Linked DNA regions of Mus musculus. The protein of the gene in region 3 purifies or fractionates together with the protein of the main gene of each other region. This does not show direct contact. Links are inferred from orthologs where the notes say so. Each region holds a gene or a part of one and is shown on either strand. Other genes may lie near its edges.

Region 1 (3,791 bases), on a different chromosome or scaffold from region 3:
TATTTGTTACTTTATTCTAGGTGTCAGATTGGATTAGTTGTAAAGCTCATTTCTAGGTGTGTCTGTGAGGGTGTTTCAAAAGGAGACTGGCATGTGAGTTCATGGACCGAGTAGGGAAGTCCCACTCTTAGGGTGGGTGGACATGCAGGTCATTCCAACTGGGGCCCAGAGAGAACAAGAAGGCCGAGTGGAGGTGAAATCACTCTGTCTCCTGGAGCTGAGCTGCCTGGCTTCTCCTGCTCCTAGGTACCAGGCTCCAGGTTCTTAGGCCTTTGAGTCCTGAGAGTAACAATATCCGCTTGCCACCAGGGCTTCCTGACTTGTCAACAGCTACCACTGTGAGGAATCAAATCCTTTATTTTTTTGAGCCAGGACTTGCACCCATGACACCTGTGCTGACTTTGCGGGCTCATAGAGAGTGTAAAATCTCAGGAGCATCCTTAGTTTCTCTGGTAGTAATTAGTAGGCTAGGAATAAAAAGCTACAAAGGGCTGGAGAGATGGCTCAGTGGTTAAAGAGGACTGGACTGCTCTTCCAGAGGTCCTGAATTCAATTCCCAGAAACCACATGGTGGCTCACAACCATCTGTAGTGAGATCTGATGCCCTCTACTGGTGTGTCTGAAGACAGTGACAGTGTACTCACATACATTAAATAAATAAATCTTAAAGAACACAACAACAAAACCCACTGCATGAACAGTCCTTGGAGAAGTTACAGAAACATCAGAAAACATCTTCCTCTCTTGCATATGTGCTGTACGCAGGAGGAGGAGAGGCATCGAGCATTATAACGTCTGGACAGAGAGAAGCTCTCTTGGGCTGATGTGTTGAGGAACTTCCCAGGAGGAGATAGATGCAGAGTTCCAAAACGTGCTTTGTTTCCCTCTCCTCCACAGGACATACCACACCACCGTAATTCCCAATGGTCTGGTTCATTACAATCTTGTAATGGGCCAAAGAGATACTTCTAAAAGGAGCAATACACGTGGAAGTTCTAAGCAAATTAATATACTTGATGAACATATAAGCTGGCGCTAAATTTAGTATTACAATCAATTAAAAGTCATAACAAATGCTGTCTGACATTTAATAGTCTTCCTGGGTTACTATCCTGTAATAATGATAAAGATCACACACATATAATTATAATTGATGCTGATTTAAAATTATTCTAGCAAAGGCTCTTTAATGTAAGCAGAGAGGAAGAAGGGGTAGACTACACGTTAGCTATTCTGAAACCACTGTGAAGCTTTCTAGATCTGCAGGAACACCCAAGAAAATTGGGGCAGATTGCTTTAAAACCTACCCTGAGCTGAGGCGCTGAGGACATCTGGAAAGCTAGAGCAGCTCTGTCACAATACCCACACACCTACGTAAGCAATATCCCCTACCACAGCAGTATATCACCACTCGATCCTCCGTTATGCCCAACAGATCCTCAACTCACTGTATCATCATATAATTCACACTTCATACCTGTAGGATGCCAAGCCAAAAGGAAATCAAACTTCAAAGGCTTCTTCTCTTTGAAGGACCAAGATATTCTTCTGTACTTCTTAGAATCCAGGTTAAGGGATAAATCCATTAGGTCAATGGAAATGACTTAAAGTAGAAAGAGGAATACTTGTTTCATTCGAATTATACAGAGCTTACACTGTAGAGAAATGTCTAAAGTTTTGGTAAGTTGGTAAGTTGTACAGATTGTGTTCATCAAAAACATATCCCTCAGCGGGCTATTTCTAGTGTTGAGAGCTGCTAGCTATAGTTGGTTTAAATTCTTTAAGCCCTTCCTAGATCATAGATCAGGTACCTGTGTCTGTGCTAGCCTTAGTTATTGATGTCCACACCAGAGAGTTTCCTCAAAACCAACTCTTCACTTGTGAATTTCCACTGCTAATCACAAAGAATCTGTGTACGAAGCACATCAAGTTGTTCCTCTTCACTGCATACAAGGGGTAGTCCAGTTCTCCAGCCCTTATAAAATGTGGTGTACAGCCAAAGAGGAACAATTTAACAGCACCAACTAATCTAATCCCCCAGGAAGTGCAACCAATAGCTCCTTGAGTCAGGATTTCAAAGATAAGAACCATATTTTTCCGATTAGAGATCAGAGGGAAGGCATTCACGTTTTGTTACAAGAAAACTGACTTGCTAGGCTCCAGTGGAACGCATGTAATACTTACCAAACTTCATACTTTTTCTGCCAGAATACCGAGATGGACGACCTTGAAGTCCGGTTTCTTCGTAAGTATCTTTATCTAGTGATAAAATTAATTTCCCTACAAATCAAACAATAGTTCTTCTAAGAGAGATGTTAAAATATGGCTGGTGTTCTCTAAGAAAGCTAGACATCTGAGCAGTGAAATGTCGGGGATAAGAATACACAAAGAACTTGTCTATAGCACACTGATATTATCTAGCAATGTACCCAACTGGTCTGGAACTTTGCTCTGTAGTTGAGGCTGGGCTCAAACTGGTGGCAATTATCCTGCTTCAACCTTCCAAATACCAGGATGCAGGTGTGAGCCACCAGGCTTGTGGTATTATCTACCATATATACATATATACATATTACAATAGCAAAACTAGAAACAATTAAATTTGTATGAAGGAAAGAATGATCAAACTGTGGTCTGTATAACTTCAAATACTGTCTTTAAATTTTAATTTAGTTTAATTTAAATATGTATTTGTATGCCTGCTTGTAAGTACACCAAGGAGCCTGTGAATGTCAGAAGAGGATGTCGGATCTCCTAGAACTTGAGTCGTGAGCTGCCATGTGGCTGCTGGGAACTGAATTTGGATCCTTAGCAATGACAGGAATCACTCTTAGCTGCTGAGCCATCTCTCCAGCCCCTACTTCAAATATCATCAAAACATTTAAAAGCTCTATGTTAAAGCCAGGCAGAGATGTGCTGGTTCATGTGTGTAATCCTTGCACTTGGAGAGCTGAGGCAAGAGAAATGATAATCTGAGGCCAACCTGGTCTACATGGCAAGATCCTATCTCAAAACAAAACAAAAAGTTCTAAGTCACAACCATCTGCACTGAAGCAGGAACATGTCTATGTTATACCCCTTGGAAAATAAGACTACTGAGAAACAATGTCATATAACCAATGTTAAACATTTGATGCTTACTGGTGCTGGTAAAACACGTCTTTAATCCAAGCACTCATGAGGCAGAGGCAGGTGAATCTTTTAGTTTAAGGCCAGCCTGGTCTACAGAGTGAATTCTAGGACAGCCAAGGTTACATAGAGATACCTTGTCTCAAAAACAAAAACAAACCAAAAAAATGTATGCTTATAAATTCTTGAAAGATAAACATCAAATGGTTCCATCTAAGAAGGAACACAAAGATAGGCTTCATTTTACTGTTTAGAGCTGTATGACTTGACTTTTAAAAAACTATTATTTGCCGGGCGTGGTGGCGCAAGCCTTTAATCCCAGCACTCGGGAGGCAGAGGCAGGCGGATTTCTGAGTTCTAGGCCAGCCTGGTCTATAAAGTGAGTTCCAGGACAGCCAGGGCTATACAGAGAAACCCTGTCACGAAAAAAAACAAAAACAAAAAAATTATTATTTTATTATTTTTATGTATATGGGTGTTTTATCCTCATGTTATGTCTGTGCACATGGATGTGTCTGGTGCCTATGGAGGTCAGAACAGGGCACTGGACTCACTCAAACTGGAGTTACAGATAGCTGTAAGCTACCAAGTGGGACTGAACTTTGGTCTTCTGGAAGAGCAGTCAGTGCTCTTAACTGCTGAGCCATTTCTCTAGCCTACTT
Region 2 (3,305 bases), on a different chromosome or scaffold from region 3:
GGGGAGGCCAGAGAAAGTAGTCGCAGCACCTTGAGGGAGTGGGTCAGATTTGGGAGCTAGGTGTGTTAATGTCCTTGAGGTAGAGGATTGGGGAAAGAGGTAATTTGTATGTACTTCCTAGTTTCTAGCCTGGACAAGCTGTGCTATTCTAGGAGATGAGGCAAGCAGATCAGAGACAGCTGACCTCAGGGGACCAACGGCTTGGTGTTGGATAGCTAATCTGAGGTAGCTCTTGGATGTCCATCCAGGCAGCTTTGGGTGTCATGGGGTGAAGGAGTCGTGGGAAAAGTCTGCACTGGCGGTGACCCCTTGGAAACCATGATGGGAGGGAATCTGGGCCCAAGAGAATCGGCTAGAGCCTCGATTCCAACAGTGTGAGCAGATGGCACCAAGAGAGCACTTAGTGTGTGTTTAACAAGGAACCAGGATGGGTTAGATCACAACTATCTCAGATCCTCACTGCTTGTGACTTGGAGATAGTTCAGGGATGCCAAGTGACAGATGACAGGCTGAATGCTGTGACACACACTTCACTTACACTGAGTAACAATCTCCAGATGACTATATGCATTCATAGAAATTACCTGAAATAATAGCACCATGAAGATCTGCCTTTAGGAGCTTGGCCTGAATCATCTGTGGCTGCCTAGGAGGTGAAGAGCCCACAGAGAAGAGTCGGTAACAAGCCAGTAACAGTAACTGCAAACACAAACACAACCCCACAGCCTGCTGGTTTCTCAGAGCATCTCTAATGCTCTCCAGGCTTGGCATCTGCTCCCATGGCTTCCACGGCTTCAGAACTAAAACTCACGTGTCCGGCTTGAGCCCATTGCACAGGTCCCGGATGTACTGTTTCCAGAGTTCATGGAGAGGGAGGAACAGGCTGTATCTGTAAAGAAGCCAGAAGCATGAGCTCGGCGTTTACAGCGCGCAGCACACAGAGCTGGGCTCCAGGCTGAGGATGAGCGTAAGGGAGCACCGGAGACTGTGTGGGAGGCCAAGGCTCTCCAAAGTGCCAAGTAACTCCCCAACCTGCTACTCGAACTCAATTTCTTCCCTGGTAGAACCTCTTCAAGGCTAAATATCTGCTCTCAAAAAGGTGGTCCTTCACCTAGATGCCCACCCTCCTGGCCAGACATACGATGGTGGAGCCCCTGGCTCAGACCCCCAGCTGAAGGTGGCGATGCACCATCAGCCATAATGACCCAGGTGCTGTTCATCCACATTCCTTTTCCCAAGACAAATGAGCAAAGGAACATTAGTCTTCTTAGCCCACACTTCCAGGAGGTTAAACTTAATAGTCCTTGGGAGGAGCAATCCCTTCTGTAAGGTGACAGGACTGTGTAGAAGGCGAGAGTAGAGCCCGGAAGCTTTCCTCTGGGGTGATTATCATATGTCTTGGTGCACAGGGTTAGGCAGTCAAGAACAATGGCTCAAATCAGAAACAAGCACTTCCTTCAAGGAACCCAGAGAGGCAGATCCTTGGCAAAGTGACACTGTCATGCCATCTGGGACATAGAAAGATATGTGGCTAAAGTGCATTATACAAAGCCAGTAAACAGTAACTGCAAACACAAACTCAGAACTATATCAAGAAAGACATCCTCCCACAAGACAGTGATGTATTCCTTTCAGAAATGTCTGAAATGAGTAGGTGGGACCGTTCCTTGGCAGTAACCTCTGAGTGGGTGATACTGTCTAGTTATGTTCAAAGCTACAGGAAAGTACACATTAAGGCATATCAGTTCCTCTTTTCTAGAAAGCTGAAAGCAAACAGCCTGTTGCCATGGAAAACAGACTCACTTATTATTAGTGAGGCTAGGACAGAAGCTAAGTGATGAGAACCCTCAGTCTCACCAATGCCTGCCCCTCAGAGGCCAAGCACAGGCACAAGGAAATTGGAAGGGGGAGGCTGCCCTCTTGTGGCAAGAAGTACCTGAGCATGAGTATGTAGGGATGTCCAGTGAGGCCCCCCCCCCCCCCAGTCCTTGAACCCTGACAAAGATGACAAGGCAAGGTTGGATGGTAAGACCATTAGGAAAGATGGGCATACCTCTGTTGCTCTGGTTTAATGTCAAAGAGCCGCATGTCTCTCCTCTGTTTGGCAGAGAGGCCTTTGGATTTCTTCTTTGGCCTTGGCCTTGGCTTTAGGCGAGTGAAATATTCCAAGATCACGGCCTTGCGCTGCAGATGGCTCTCACAGTCTTCTTGGCTCATGTGAGGTATGCTCTGCTTCAGGAAGGCCCGCACAAAGGCCTCAGCCCGCTGGCTTCCCAGCTCCTGCTCGGAGACATAGTGGTGTTGTTCACGGTTCTTGTGCCCACAGACCCCAGGGCCCTCATACCCTGTTCCAGAAAGCCACTATCTTTGCTGATCCATCTCTCTATCCACTGAGGCTCACAAATCTCTTGCCAAGTGTTTGCTACGCACAACTGCCAAGATGTAAAAGAAACACTCATACACTAATTGTGACAGTGTCCCACACTGCAGCCAGGTCAAACAATGACTTCCTGTCCTGCTTCTTGAGGATCCTCTACTGAGGATTCAAAACTTTTTGTAATTTAGTACTTCTCTAATCCTTGTGGGGAAGGAAGTTTGAGACATGGATGATAGAGGTTAATCAGTCATGACTACAAGGCCAGCTTAAAGGGGAAGGGAGCTGGGGTTCTTAGGAAAACGAGCCAGTCTAGCACTAGGGGAAACTGCCTGTGGTTTCCAGGAAAGTCACGTCCTTTGAGGGGGCATTCTGACAGTGAGCTTCACAGTCCTCTTTAATCGCTTTTCCTCTGGAGTTAGGGCAGCAACAGTCTATTCCTCACTGGGCAACAGGTACCTCACTTGGCCTTCATCACCTGAAACCCTGTTACCTGAGGACCAACCTCTTCCCCGGGCCATTGGCTGGGCTCTTTTTTGCACTAACTGCACAGTAAGGCCAAGTCTGGGCTAACTGCCAGCTTTAGGTTAACGTATGAATGCTGACTTCTACCCTCTCTATGGTAAAGCAAGGGAGTGAAAATACAGAATACACAACCTTCAAGGTACTTGAAGGTAGGGATGGCTAAACAATCCATCATTGATATGACGACAGTTTGGTTCTTTTAAATATACATGTGGTCTCTCTTTCACTGGGAATTAAAAATTAAAGGTTAACTGGCCTTTTAAAATCTTGACTTCAAGGCTATGTTCTCTTTAGGAGCCACAGGTGAAGCTGTTGCCCAAATGACAAAGCACCATGAAACATCCAGACAGAACTTGTAACATCCACTTAGGAAATGGGCTGAGCACTGACCAGGATACAGAAGCAA
Region 3 (3,791 bases):
AGCAAGAACTACACAGAGAAACCCTGTCTCGAAAAAACAAACCAAAACAAACAAACAAAGTCCTTATTTACAAGCTTAGAGTCCTGATTTATAAGATCACAAGATCAATCTACTTACTGAGTTCTTCCTTATGCCCGATTCTATACTCTGCTCATCTATACATCTCCCCTCCTTGTCACCATTTAACAAGACAGCCCAACGGAGAGAAACCATATCTTACTAAACTCTAGCTCCTGAAACCACATTTTCCTATGACATACTAATTTCAGGTTTTATTTTTTAATTTGTTGCACTCTATAGGAAAGTACACACACTCTTCCCTCAGCGTCCCCATAAACCAGCATCTTATGTAACTGCTGTGCGTGATCAAAGCCTCATAATAACCAGAAGCTGAACACATCACATTTGTTCTTTAATGGATGGATTGTTCAGTGATTGTAGCTTCATATCATGGAATATAATCAGAGAAAAGAACAATGCTAGAAAAGAACAAAGCTCTAGAAAATTAAGCTAAATGGAAAAAGCCAACTCTAGATACGTTACTTACTGAGTAATTCTACGTATATAATGCTCTGCCTATAACGTAACCTGTAGAACTGGTGTTGATACAACTGGATTTATTCAGCTCAGACATTATGTGTACGCAGATGTATTTATGTGTATGCTTCCACACAGGCAACTTCTTATAACTACCACCACCACTAAGATAAAAACCTGGGCCATCACAAGACTCTTCTATCGGCCCTTTATTACTTATACCCACTCCATTTCCCATCCGTAACCCTGGCAACCACTTCTTTCTACAGGTTACGTTGTAGGAAGAACATTATATACATAGAAATTACCCAGTAAGTAACGTATTTACGGTTGGCTTTTTCCATTTAGCCGAATTTTCTAGAGCTCTGTCTAGCATTGTTCTTTTCTCTGATTATATTCCATGATATGAAGCTACAATCACTGAACAATCCATCCATTAAAGAACAAATGTGATGTGTTCAGCTTCTGGTTATTATAAGACTATCACAAACACTGGTGTGCAGGATTCCTTTTTTTTCCTTTCAAGATTTATTTTTATGTACACAGCCTTTTGCCTACATGTGTATCTGTGTACCGTGTGCATGCCTGGTGCCTGAGGAAGCCAGAAGAAGAGAACAGATCCTATACAAGTAGAGCTACAAGATAGTTATGTATCCCTATGTGGGTATTAGGAACCGAACCCAGGTGCTCTGCAACTGCTGGGACCTCTCGGGGCCAAGTGTAGATTTTTGCTTTAAATTATTTTTTTTATTATATTTACTTATTGTGAGCATGAGTATGTGCCCTGATGTGCGGATGGAAGTCAGAGGACAGCTTGAAGAAGGCAGTTCTTTTCTTCCACCGTCTGGGTTACAGGGATCACATTTAGGTCATCAGGCGTGACGGCAACCCCTTTGCCTGCTAAACCATCTCACCTGTCCACGGTATAGGCTCTCATGCTAACGTAAATTTCAGTTTTCTGGTGTAAATACCCAAGAGTGCTATTGCTGAATCGTATGGTAGGTACATACTTACTTTAATGTGGCAGCTGGTACACACTACCCTAGTATCTAATATTTTCATGTGTGTGGGGTTTTTTTTTTGCCAATTATACACACTCTCTAGTGAAATGTCTGTGAAAGTTTCAGCCTATTTTATTTGGACTGTTTGTTTTCTTATGATTGGACTCCTTAGTGTGTGATGGGGTCTTGCTACACATAACCTTGATCATCCAACTTCAACCTATCTAGTGCTGTGATTGATTACAGGTGTAAATCATTATACCCGACACTACTGGGTTCTGAGAATTCTTTCTAATACCCTAGATAATACTTCTTTGTCAGACATACAGTTTTCAAATATTTTCTCTAGCCTAAATCTCATCTTTCCATCTTCTTACAGTCTTTGCAGAATTTCTCTGATAAGGTACATGGAAAACTTGAACAGAGTAAGTCAGCTCCTGACAGTCAACCCTATCTGTGTTCTTCCCCTCCGTTTCCAAAGTTCCTCTTCTGTTAGGCGAACGCTCAGAGCGAGCTGCTCCAGGTGCTGGGCTGTGACAGGCTGAGAGCACGTGGAAATGTCAGCCAGCATCACAGAGCACAGCTGCTTCTGCTCACACTCTTAGACCTTTCTATTGCTTTAAGGTTTATTTATGTGCGTGTCTTCCCCACATGTATGTGTGTCGCGTCACACCTATGGAGGTCTGTTTGCCCACATACATATGTATGTGTGCCTGTGCCACTGCAAGTGTGTCGAGGGGAGAAGAAAGTCCTGAGAGCTGCTTCTCTCCTTCTACCATGTGGCTTCCAGGGACCGAACTCAGAACATCCCGCTGTCCCTCGCACTGAAGCATGCTAGTGCTCATGTAAGCCCTTTGCCTTTTCAAAGACGGCAATGATGTCTCCTGGTTACCGTCCAGACGATAACTGATAGCACTGTTTGAGACCAAGCTGGTGTCTGATAGATTTCTTGTCAAATACAGGATACACTAGTATAACCTACAGAATTCATTATTTCTGAAAGCCAGCTTCTAGACAATTTCTAGTACAACATTAAATACATACATACACACACACACACACACACACACACACACACACATATATATATATATTTCTTACAAGCTGCTCTTTCTAAACTGGGAATGATGTTGCGAGCCTCTAATCCCAGGGCTTTGGAGGCAGAGGCAGGTGGCTCTGGGATTTGATGTTAGTCTGGTTTACAGAGCACATTCCAGACAACCTGAGTCATACAGAGGCCCTGCCTCAAACAAATAAACAAACAAGTTCTTTTGTTTTTTGTAACAGGTACAACTAGGCCCAAGGTAGGCCATGATTCCCCCAGTGAGTTATACGCTCAGTCCCTTTTCTAAAATTCTGTACCAAAACCTTAAGAATGTTAATCTGCCGAGCTATTCCATACCTCCCCAAACAGGTCTCTCAGGGCTGAGACGAGCAGCTGTTTGAACTGTGCCACGTTCAGTCCAACCCCATGTTCTTGAAACTCTCTGTAAAAAAGTATTAAGAAGAGAAAATATCACATTAAATGCCATGCTTTTCAAATTCACAAAACAGGAAACAATCAAACAAAAAGAGGTTATATAAAACAGAACTCACAAGAGGGACTTACAGACAGACTTTCATGTAGTGATACTCTGAGGGGCTCTTGTAAACTACTCTTTCATATGCAGTCGCTGGCATCTTCCAACATGGACACCTACAGGAGTCAGAGAGCTCGTAACCATCAGGATATACAGTGTTACTCACAGTAGTATTGCATTTTCTATGTTGGGACTCTATAAGCAAGAAGCCTATAACTATATGTCGCCCCTTAGCCTTGGACCTGAAGTATAAGCCAAAGCGTAGCTGTTTATAATGACTTAGTCTGTGGTGTTCTTACTGGCAACAGAAGATACACAACACAGGCAGCAATACTATTGCTCTTTTCAAGTAATAATGGGGGTTGGGGGGACCCAGCTACATAGCCCAGGCTGGCCTTTTTCTTGATTTTCCTGCTGGGATTATGGGTGTGTACAGGGCATTCCACACTCAATGCCATTTCAAACAGATCTGGACTCTCAAGTACTGATCCCCCTTAGAAAATCTCTTTTCCTTGAGGCCACTCAGACCTTGCTCCCCACCCCCCACCTCCACCCCCATCCCCCATAGCTCTCATTCCCATTTCAATGTCTCCTCCTTCAGGGAGGCTTTCTCACACTTGTTCTGCAGATGTTTGTTATGCAATGTCTTGCCATTGGCTCTCCACTTCTTACC
Region 4 (2,913 bases), on a different chromosome or scaffold from region 3:
ATTTGACAGGTCACGTTAGCACGTTTTAAAATGTCAAATGTATCCCTCAAAGTTTAAACCCGGCTGCGAGCTCGAACAGACTAGACAGTAATTCTCATATGGAAACGCAGGATGGAAGCTTTGTTTTTCTCAGAATGTCGCTTCTTAGTTTAGCTCCTAATTCCGCAAGCACACTTGAACTATGCAGAATCAAACATACATAAAACCACAAAGTTTTCTTGCTTTCGCTGAGCTCTACAGGAAAACAGGCGTTTCCCCGGCAAGGATTTTTTTTCCCCCTGCAGCGTTAATGTTAATTACGGTGGAGCTGGGCTCTCTCTCCATTCATTGACCTGAGTGGTCAGCGACTTCTTGAGGGCGGAAGGTTTCCCTTAACGTTTCCTTTCAAGCTGGGTGCTGCGGCCCATGCTTTTATCCTAGCAGTCCCCAGGGAGCAAAGGCAGGTTCCAGGCCAGCCAGGAAGTCCTAACTGGACTGTCTAAAAGCAGACAAAAACAAAACAAAAAAGCCACTTTCAAGAATGTTAGGTGGAGATGGAGAGAGGGCTCAGCGGTCTTTGGGAGAGGAAAGATTCCTATCTGAAATAGTCTGAAACTCCAGTTCCAGAGGACAACACCAGGCACAAATGTGTAAATACATGCAAGCAAAACAGCACACGATTACAAATCTTTAGTGTGGTGCATTGCCACACCACCTCTAGTAAGGATCTGTGTGACAAATTCCACAGGCTGAGGCGTTTGATCTCAAAAAGGGGAGACCTCCTGGAACAGGCTGTGGAACTCTTCACAGGAGAAAAATTATTGAGTCGTAGATCTTTTGGCTACTTATCAGTTTTATGTTTTCTATTCCTTTTCCTGTATATGAGGTGTTCCTGATAGCCTAGGTCAAGATCTTAAGCGAGTATTATGACTACAAAACCATCCCTTGAGATGGAGTCACTAAACATGACCTCATCTCCAGGAAAGACAGCACTTCTCTTTATAAATCATGTGTAAGATAGTATTAATAAATATAAACTTTCCCAACAATATTTTATATGGCTGCACCTGCGTCATCAGAAATAGGTTTTGGTATCTTGTTTAAGAAAGTATTATATAGGAAAAATTAAAACAGTTTAAAGAGCTACAGAACAGGGAACTGATCATAAAAATTCATTGGCATGTTTTTGGGAATTTGCCCCAGCCTCAGATGACTTTCGTATGTTTTACTGAGAACACCTTTCTTTGAAGTTGTGACTTGGATGATTTTGTATTTGATGTACCAGGTGGTTGTTATGTCTGTCCTATTTTGCTGTTTCACTGAACACAACTTTTCCGAGCTGAGCTGTAACACCTATTTCTCTAAGTATAAAAACCCTTGACGGAGAGCTGCAAAATACACGCAGATTCAGACTGCCTCTGTTTGTTTATCACCACCGAATCCTTAGCCACCTGACCTCGAGAACCCACATCCCAGGGACCCCTATCCCGGCTGGGGTGGTCCATGCCAGCACATCCTCCCATGTGACGTTTGCCTACGATAGGGTTTTTCTGTATAATTCTGTGAATTTTAATTTCTTTCCCAATTTCCCCTTCCTCCTGTAGTCCGATACCTCAATGCCTACACTGGAGTCGTGCTACTGCGATGCCGGAAGGATTTCTACCAGCTCGTGTGGTCAGCTCTTCCTTTCATCACCTATTTGGAGAACAAAGGCCACCGTTACCCGTGCTTCTTCAACACATTACACGTGGGAGGTACGGGTGGTGTGGATGGTGGCTGTTGTTCAGAGCAGTTGCCAGGTGGGTGGGTCTTGCTTCTATCCACTGAGAACAAGATGTTCCTCCCACCACCCACCCCCTGGAAGACGGTAACCGTTTCACAAGCCATTGTCCACAAAAGCTCTTTCATGTGCCAGGTACCATCAGAACCTGTCAGAAGTTCCTGATCCAGTACAACAGGAGACAGCTGCTGATCTTGTTGCAGAATTGCACTGACGAAGGTAAGCAATGCCAGGCCAGCGTAAGCAGGGACTGAGGCTCAGCGGGGAGGACGATGCCCTAGGACATCTTCCTTTGCTGTAGGAGAGCGGGAAGCCATCAAGAAGTCTGTCTCAAGAAGCTGTCTGCTGGACAGAGAGCCCGTTGAAGAGCTTTCAGACAGTGCTGGTGAGGAGGTTGCAGAAGCAATGGAGTGACCGTTTCCAGGCCCACTTGTGGGAACAGGACATTACAGGAGGTGACAGCAGCATCCCACAGTTCTCCAATGGAAATGACTGATAACCAGCACTCAGGTGACCAGCTTGAAGTGGAGGGCTTGCTGCCTTACCTTGCATCCATGGTTGTGAAGGCTCTGTGCAGACATTTCGGATGTAACTGCTTAGCTCAGGGGTGGAATAAACATTCCTAAACCATAAAATGTGCACTTGCCTTGAATGTGCTCCCCGTGTGGTTCGAGATGAGTTTTAAATGTTCCTAGACCCTTAATATAAGAACACATGTAAATCTGGGCTTGGTGGCATACCTCTGCAATCTTAACACCAGGTAGACAGACCGGCATATCTCTAGAGTTTGAGGCCAGCCAAGGTTCCACAGAGTGTTACAGGTGAGGTGGGTTCAAGCAGAAACACTGGTGAATAACCCCCAGCTATACTTACATAATCTAGCTCAGCACTGTGTCCTAGGACTGCAAATAGCAGGGGATCTCCAGTTTACCATGGCTCAGGTGCCTTTCAGCAGGCCCCAGTGAGGCATGAGTGTACTCCTGGCCTTGGGAGGCGGGCTGCTGTGAATAAGAAGCTCCCATATAGCTAAAGGCTGTGGTCCCAGCTGGAAGGATTGGGAGGTGCAGCCTTGTTGAAAGTGTCCCGGGTAGCTCTCTCTGCCTCCTGCCTGTCAGATGGTTTACAACTGACTCTGTCGCCTTTAAACAACGGGC

What was found. Proteins that work in one complex are often made in the same cells at the same time.
Region 1: the proteins of Rpp14 (region 3) and Rpp40 purify together in Homo sapiens (co-immunoprecipitation; 3 studies listed by BioGRID and IntAct, with this or other methods). This does not show direct contact. The link is inferred for Mus musculus from reciprocal best matches to the Homo sapiens genes RPP14 and RPP40.
Region 2: the proteins of Rpp14 (region 3) and Pop4 purify together in Homo sapiens (affinity purification with mass spectrometry; 3 studies listed by BioGRID and IntAct, counting the BioPlex papers as one, with this or other methods). This does not show direct contact. The link is inferred for Mus musculus from reciprocal best matches to the Homo sapiens genes RPP14 and POP4.
Region 4: the proteins of Rpp14 (region 3) and Pop5 purify together in Homo sapiens (co-immunoprecipitation; 3 studies listed by BioGRID and IntAct, with this or other methods). This does not show direct contact. The link is inferred for Mus musculus from reciprocal best matches to the Homo sapiens genes RPP14 and POP5.

What each region holds. Positions count from the first base shown.
Region 1 is NC_000079.6:35,899,829-35,903,619, forward strand, and holds part of Rpp40 (ribonuclease P protein subunit p40), read right to left. Parts: intron 2,281-3,791; coding exon 2,185-2,280; intron 1,604-2,184; coding exon 1,478-1,603; intron 1-1,477. UniProt on the Homo sapiens protein: Component of ribonuclease P, a ribonucleoprotein complex that generates mature tRNA molecules by cleaving their 5'-ends. Also a component of the MRP ribonuclease complex, which cleaves pre-rRNA sequences.
Region 2 is NC_000073.6:38,265,316-38,268,620, forward strand, and holds part of Pop4 (ribonuclease P protein subunit p29), read right to left. Parts: exon of another isoform or gene 3,156-3,305; intron 2,281-3,155; coding exon 2,054-2,280; intron 890-2,053; coding exon 812-889; intron 647-811; coding exon 585-646; intron 1-584. UniProt on the Homo sapiens protein: Component of ribonuclease P, a ribonucleoprotein complex that generates mature tRNA molecules by cleaving their 5'-ends.
Region 3 is NC_000080.6:8,083,151-8,086,941, reverse strand, and holds part of Rpp14 (ribonuclease P protein subunit p14), read right to left. Parts: intron 3,235-3,791; 5' UTR 3,219-3,234; coding exon 3,148-3,218; exon of another isoform or gene 3,135-3,147; intron 3,026-3,134; coding exon 2,941-3,025; intron 1-2,940. UniProt on the Homo sapiens protein: Component of ribonuclease P, a ribonucleoprotein complex that generates mature tRNA molecules by cleaving their 5'-ends.
Region 4 is NC_000071.6:115,238,579-115,241,491, forward strand, and holds the end of Pop5 (ribonuclease P/MRP protein subunit POP5), read left to right. Parts: intron 1-1,583; coding exon 1,584-1,733; intron 1,734-1,894; coding exon 1,895-1,978; intron 1,979-2,060; coding exon 2,061-2,173; 3' UTR 2,174-2,394; downstream 2,395-2,913. UniProt on the Homo sapiens protein: Component of ribonuclease P, a protein complex that generates mature tRNA molecules by cleaving their 5'-ends. Also a component of the MRP ribonuclease complex, which cleaves pre-rRNA sequences.